Caenorhabditis elegans: one gene and its partner. The protein of the gene in region 1 interacts with the protein of each later gene in a pairwise test. Each region holds a gene or a part of one and is shown in the gene's direction. Other genes may lie near its edges.

What was found. The genes of interacting proteins can lie anywhere in the genome.
Region 2: the proteins of unc-5 (region 1) and unc-73 interact in a two-hybrid assay, tested with the Caenorhabditis elegans proteins (one study listed by BioGRID).

The regions. Positions count from the first base shown.
Region 1 is NC_003282.8:5,526,693-5,530,448, reverse strand, and holds the start of unc-5 (Netrin receptor unc-5), read left to right. Parts: upstream 1-2,110; coding exon 2,111-2,192; intron 2,193-2,523; exon of another isoform or gene 2,524-2,544; intron 2,545-2,808; exon of another isoform or gene 2,809-2,829; intron 2,830-3,746; exon of another isoform or gene 3,747-3,756. UniProt on the Caenorhabditis elegans protein: Receptor for netrin (unc-6) required for axon guidance. Mediates axon repulsion of neuronal growth cones in the developing nervous system upon ligand binding.
Region 2 is NC_003279.8:4,029,950-4,033,705, reverse strand, and holds the start of unc-73 (CRAL-TRIO domain-containing protein), read left to right. Parts: upstream 1-1,966; 5' UTR 1,967-2,078; coding exon 2,079-2,099; intron 2,100-3,756.

The DNA.
Region 1 (3,756 bases):
TTTGTTTTCTACTTGAAAAATCAATTATTGCAGTTTTACAATGCTTTCAAATATCAGCCTAACTTCCGATATACCATTGTTACTGCTATGCTTTTCTTGATTACATTTTTTTTCTTTATATTCATTGTATTTTCAAATCTGCAAAACTTGACAAAATAGAAGCGAAAACTTTCTTGTATTATTTTTTTTGAAACAAGTGCAAAACAGTAGTCCAAATATTTGTTATCTTATCTTGTTTTTTTTTATTTTGTCAAATGTTTTTGTTCAAACCTCTCAAATAATTTTTAAGACACCTATTATTCAAATTTGTAGTTTTTCCTTCCAACCCATGAAAACCTACAGTAACCCTTCAGGGAATCTCCCGCCTTTACCACGAGAATTTCTCTTTATTATGTTAATTTCAAGTTTTTGAGTTAGGCGGTACTCTTTTCATTCACTTGCTCAAATATTATATTTTCTCACAATTTCTCACATAATCTTGCTCTGCTTGACACATAGGACGATTAACATTGAAAGTTTAATAAAATTATAACATTTGACTTTGAAACAGTAATTTTTTTAAAAAAGAAATGTTCAGATGTCACTAACATTTCAAAAATCATGGTTTATTTATCAAAATAATGAAACAGGCTTTTACAGAAAAAATTGTTCTCTAGCTAACATCTCTAGTGAATAGTAAGTATTTTCAAAGACGACTTTTCTAGAATCTGCGTAACAATGGAATTCAAATTACCACTCCCCATATAATGATCTCTAAAAAATGTTTTTAGAAAAATTTTCCATTTTTTCAGATTCCATGCTTTGTTGTCTTAATTTCCACTATTTTCTATTCCTTCAGAATTCAATCACTGAAGATGAAGCACACATTTTTTTTACAGTTTCAATTGGATCTTTTGTGAATTAAGAGTATTTTTGTTTTATTGAATCCATTATTGTTATTGAGACAATAAAGCTTATGAGTTCCATGTAAGAAAAAGTTGGTCTGAATATTTATCAAATTCAAAATTCTTCAATAATTGAACGGGTATTATTCCAATTCTAATACAACTGTGAAATTATATAAAATTCATCAAAACTATGAAACATGTTTTTACTGGATCAAATTTTCTCTGGATGATTTTTTTTCATCAAAATCAATTTTTTCTGTATCCTGATTATATTCAAACTAAACCAAAGTGTGCAAATTGAAGAAAAAAAATCAACTCCCTTTTTTTAAGTTCGTTTAAAATTCCAATAACCTCCTATTTGTTTGAGAATTTAGTTTCTTGAAGCACAAAATATTGTTACAGTTTCAGTAAGGCTTCTTTTAAATTCAGATTTTTCTCCGACATTGCCTCGTATGATACCTTTGTATTTAATCCGAAAACAAATTCTTGAGTGTTCTATGATTGTAAAAAAGTCAAATAAGTTTTCTATGAGAAAATACAAAAATGTCTCTGTAGGTGAAGTGTAATAACATTGCAAACAGATTTTTACAGTTTTTTGAGCAGCAAGGAGTTTACATATCAGCACGAAACATCACGAAAAAGTTATCTAAAACTTTTTTCTAGATAGTTGAAATTTATAAAATTTATTTGTCTGTTTCAGTAGATTCACTTTATTTAATGCAACTTCAAGACCATAGTCGTATGTCAACAATTGTAACCCCTATATTGTAATTAAATTAAAAAGTTGACTGTTTCACCATGTTTTTTTTCAAAATGTAATTTCAAATAAGTTTTGATGTTCTGTGGTTTTTCGTTCCATTTTTTAAATAAGAAATAATTTTGGATCATTGAAAAAAAATCAGTTTAGAAAGTGAAAAAAATCTATAATTACTAAGTTTACAGACAGAAAAGTTCACTATTTTTTCCAACCCAAATCTAGAAAACATTGAACTCTGTCTGTGGTCTGGTTGGTTGTCCAATTTGTATTTTTCGGACCTTTATCCTTTCTTTAACATCTGGTTTTTATTACAAGAATCGCCGCTCTCTCTTCCTCTTGTTCACATGTCTTCCGTGCTCACAAAAACCTTTTTTATTTCTTCACGGGACCTCCACAATTTTTTCATTTTGATTTTTATTCTTTCCATCAGTTTTTCCTTTTAATTTGAAAATTTGAAATTCTACAGATGGAGGACGACACGCCCGATGTGAGTTCAGATTCCAATGGAGATGCAGCATACAGCGATTATTTCTTGGACTACAAATCAAGTGAGTTTCTGATTTTTGAATTAATCCCTCTTATTTTATCCTACTTATAAAAAAGTTAAGGACTATCTTTTCTTTGTTTAGAAAATATGCCAATGGGTGCCCCCGGCAGGGGGTAACGGGGGTAAATATTAGGAAGTATTAAGAGGGGTCAGTGAATTGTTTGGTGTTAGTTTCAAGGAGCTATGACACTTTTTTTTGATGATTTGTCAGTAAATACTAGATTTGTTTTACTTTTGGTATCTGTATGGCCACGGTTTGAACATTTAAAAAATTTGAAAAAAATTACTGTTTCAGAAATTGTATAAGTATTTTAAATTTCCTTGTGATGTGATTGCGTTTGTTAAAAAAACATTTATAAAATGTTTATATAGTTTTGCAAAAAATTCTGAACTGTTTTCCCAAAGTAAAAATTCCCTCCGACGAGGAGGCAGACTCTCTCGCTTTGCAGACTGCCTTCTGTGTTTTTTTATAAAAACATTTCTTGAAACAATAACGTTACTTTAAAACTTACCTCAAAATTATCTTTGGTTGTAACATTTAAAAATCACGTGAATTTTGCAGAGATTCTATACATTTTCACAATTTTAATAAAGTCTGATCTATGAAACGTTATCAATCACACCTCTCCTTAAAATTGGGAATATAACGGAAAAGTTAACAAATTAAAGTTTAGTCAATATTTCTAAAAATTAACATTTCAAGAAAAATTTGATCAAGCAGTCATAATATACTCTAGCGCTTTCATTGATGGCAGGCAGGCGTTTTAATTTGCCTAACGTCTACCTGCCTTTTGAATATCCATTTTTATTTTGCTCTTTCATAAAATCAAACATGAGTTCACTAGCAGCCGACAGTATCTAGGTCTTGCGACTCATCATAAAACTATAAGTAGGCACAGAAACAGGCAGGCATTCTCTACCTTACTTCAGTTAGTCCCTTTCTCCAATTTCTTCCGTTTCCCACTCACTCATACATCATTGAACCTTTGAGAAGGTGTCCCATCTCCAAAGACACACGTGCCGCCACTTAATCCCAATTCTCGCCAGAACTCTTTTCACCACCACCACCAGTTGCTTCTTCTTCTTCTTCTGTTGTTTTTTTGTGTGTGTGCTCACCTCTTTCCCCTCTTCTCCAATCATCACCCATTCACACCACGGATGACTAGGTCCGATGATTTTTGCCGCCAAATGATATTGTTGTAACGTTTCCTGAGTCAATGATGATGACGACGTACCTGGAGGGGGGGGGGGGAGCGGTATTCTCTTTTTGATGGACCCCCCGTACATTCCCCCACAGGTATACCTTAATGTCAAATGTCAATCAGAACGAAAATATATGTTGTTGCTTTATTAAACTGTTGACATGTGTAAACAGAATATTTTACTTACGCATTAGTTTACTTTATGGCTCATAGATTCTCCAGTTGATAGATGTTGTAAAATTGGGAGAGGTTAATGGGTGAACGGGAGTGGTGTCACCTGTTTTCACATAGTTTGTATTATGACACTGGTTGCGATAAAATTTCAGTTTATAATCTGATAGTGAGGTCCAGCCGCGATAAAAA
Region 2 (3,756 bases), on another chromosome or scaffold:
CACGTGACAACTTCACTGAACGGGGGTAATAATATTCCAATGATAGTAACTGTCAAGTGTCGATCCCTTTTGTTTTATGATTTCCGCTTGAACGGTCATCGTATACTGTTTGGCTGAAGAGACATGTGGTGGTATAATCCTCTGGGAAATCCAATCTTCACCATGTGTCTCGAGAATATCTCTGATGTTGACTTGTTACTGTAGGATTGAGTGGAATTGATATTATTTTTGATATTAGGGCGATAGCGGTCATTTAGTTCAATTTTTGGTCATTTAGTTCAATTTAGTTCATTTAAAATTTCCTAGGATTTTGTTTTACGGTGTTCCACCGACACTAAAAACTGATTGTTCAGATCAGAGGTGTACGTTAAATTTTTTCGACAATTCTACAAAATGGCCTGATGTGGCATGTTGGTCTGATATTTTTCATTAAAATTTAGTGTCAAAATATAGGATTGATTGATCTGAAAATAATTTTTTAGTTGAAAAAAAATCCTTAAAAGTTGTCTGAAAGGTGAAAATTGCTGGAATAAATCAGACAAATTATTGACACTTTTTTCCAGCAATTGGCAACTTTCATGCAATTTTTAATCATATTTTCACATTTTCAAACTTAAATGAAAATTATTTTCTGATTAATAAATTATTTGTTATATATTTTTGCATTAAATTTTGATCTGTTTTGCCTGTTGAACTAAAATGCTCTAGTTCAGATACAAGTAGTTTCAAAGAATTTGAGAGATTAGATTATAAAGACATCTCAACAACTTCTAGAGCTCACAACAGCATCTATTGAGTTCAATTGAAAAATTCAATTTTGGAGAAGAAAGGATTTAAACAGAATTATCTATATTTGAAGTGTTGCTAACATACTTCTTGTCATCTGTCGCCTGCATCGTTTGCACCTGCCACCATTACCGCCATCTCACGTCGTCGTCTTCTTCATGTCTTCTTTCTTATTTTGCCTGTTGTGTCCCCGGCGGTCTGTCCGGTCCATCAACATCCGTCTGCGCGCGCAGTGACCCTTGCGTTCTCTTTTTACGTCTGCGTCTCTACAGGACACTAGCACTGTCTCATATGACCAGCGGTCTGCTACAACGGCCGTTAGCCTCCCATAACAATTCGCTTGTCTCCCGCTTTCGTACGCTATTCCCGGAGCGGTGCCCACCCCAATGGTTGGGCCCTCTTGAGAGAAATAGTTCGTTTTGGTAGCTCTTCCTTTTCTTCTTCCTTTTCCACGATTTTCGCATTTTCACACCCAACGATTTGTAATGCGTTGTGCAACTAATAATTGAGACTAGATTCATCACATCTTTATTTGCTTATTTTATTTTATGCAGTGAAGACATTTGAATAATGCATACTTCCTGAAAAAGTACGTATTCTAGTGAGAAGATCTAATAACGTTTCGCAATGTTTCGACCTTTTCCATCCTATTTTTAGCTGCTTGAGTATAGAATTTCTTCAAAAATATCAATGAGTCAGTCATTTTAAAACAAACTTTAAAATTTAGTTTTAAAAATTGGCAAGACCATTTTGACCAAAATTTGGCAAGAGATTGTTTAGACTAGGGTCAAATAGAATTAAATTAGCTCAAGCCACATGTTGCCAATTTCCGATTTAAGCCATTTTTTTCCGGATTGTTTGAAATATTTTGTATACCAAACTTGTTCCAAGAAGATGTTAAGCTATATGAAAAGCTTCTAAAATTGTAATGCACTTATTTTTAAATGTTCTGGAAAATTTTGTTTTTTCCATAATAATTAATAATTTTGTCTCGATTTTTTCTTTGATTTTTAAAATCTTATTTAGTGTGATTTTCCATGATTTTCGAGCAATATTTCATCAGAAAATTTAAATCGAAAATCAACTTTTTCTCTCTTTTCAATACGCACTCTATTTTATTTTCTCAAATCTCTTTTTTTGAAAGAAATTTAAAATTCTTTGAAAACTGTCATTTTTTCAGATAAACGGGTTCTCATCTGATCGTCACAATACACACACAGACATTCAGAAGCACATGATTATTTTGAATTCAAGAAGAGTCGTCAAATTCGCATAAAATTCCTCCATCAGTTATGGGCGATTATGATGGAAAAGTGAGTTTTTTCAGTTTCATGGTGGCGGCAGCGGCAACTTGTGAAAAAAGAGGCAGAGATGCCGGCGCCGTAATCCATTGAAGCGATTAATGCGGAAAACGAGTGCAAACTGTACGATTTGATAGAGAAAAGAATACGTTTTTGTTTTTCGAATGTTCCGAGAAATGTCTTTTTCATCAAATTTTTAAATTTCAAATAATTTAATTTTGTTTTGTTAATATTGCCCAGACGCAAAGTTTTGCGATATTTGCAATAAAAATACGGTATTCGGTCTCGATACTACAAATTTTTGATGAGCCTTTAAAGATTACTGTAGTTTAGTTGATTATTGATTTTTTTCTCTATATTTGTTTAAATTTATGTGTTTAACAGTTTTTTTGTTGTAAAATTGTTCCGATGAAAAATTTTTTTATAAATAACAATGAAAATTGATGAAAATTCCGCAAAAACCAAATGCTAGAGATTACAGTATTCTTCAAATAAAATTTTATCGTGTCAAGACCGGGTACCGTATTTTGATACAAAAATCGTTAAATTTCGCCTATGAGTAGTAGAAAAAATTAACACCAAAACAGCAACTAAAAAATTTAATATAACTTTAAAGTTTTGCCAAAATTGAAAAAAAAAATTTCCGAGATCTCTACTCTTTTTCACGACTATAAATCTTGATTAGGTCCAAACTAAAGAAAAATAAATCATAATAATTGATGTATTACGATTACAAACCTTCCCAGACAATTGTTGAAAAGTGTAAAATGAGTTCATCACGTTTTTGAAATATGTTATGAGTCAATTGTTTTGTGTCACTCATTCCGAAATTCGGTGCTCTCCCGGTGCTCCTGCTTCTTCTCACCCATTATTTCCGGATAGATCATGAGATGGAGAGACGCAGATAGCACGATAATAGTGACCGGTTGTGTAAAGTTGTGTGAGAAAAGAAACGAAATAGTGGGAGCTTATCAAGCTCTTCCCTCAATCCTTGAAACAGATGGTACTCTCAAAGAGTGCCTTCTCGATTAGCACCAATCTTACTACTAGTATGTTGTTGTTCGAGACAGGATTATGACCTCGAGAAGCGAGGAAAATGTGAGAGAGAACGAATACCAACAAAAAAATCCGAATAGTGTGTGTGTGTAATGACGGCAGTTTATGGCAATCGGGGAAGACATTGAGAATTGTTGTAGTGCAAAAAATTGGAGGAAAAAGAAAGAAAAAATGAAAGAAAATCTCTTGTGTGCCGGGTTTTCTTTCTTCCTTTTTCGTTTTTTTTCGTGTTGGTTTGCCTTGCAAGTAAACTAGTCAACTTCAAAATACTCTGGTTGAGCTTTTACAAAAAGTTCTCTCAGTCTTTTTTCTTTCAAATACAAATTTTTCTGCCCAATTTTTTCACAAAATAAACAAAAAGAGCCAAACTTTTATAGGTAGTTTTTGAGTACATTGTACTGATTATTTTAATTTAAAATCAATGATTCTAGTTTGTTATCTCTATTTTACAGTTTCATAAAATTTAAAAAAAGTAATGTACAGTGAATGATTTCAAATTTTTCTTTCAGTATTGGCCATACAAAAATGAAAAAATACAAAAAATAAAAAAATTTTATAAAACCTAGATTTCCGTTTGACATTTTCTTTTTTATTCCAAGTTTTAGTGCAAGTT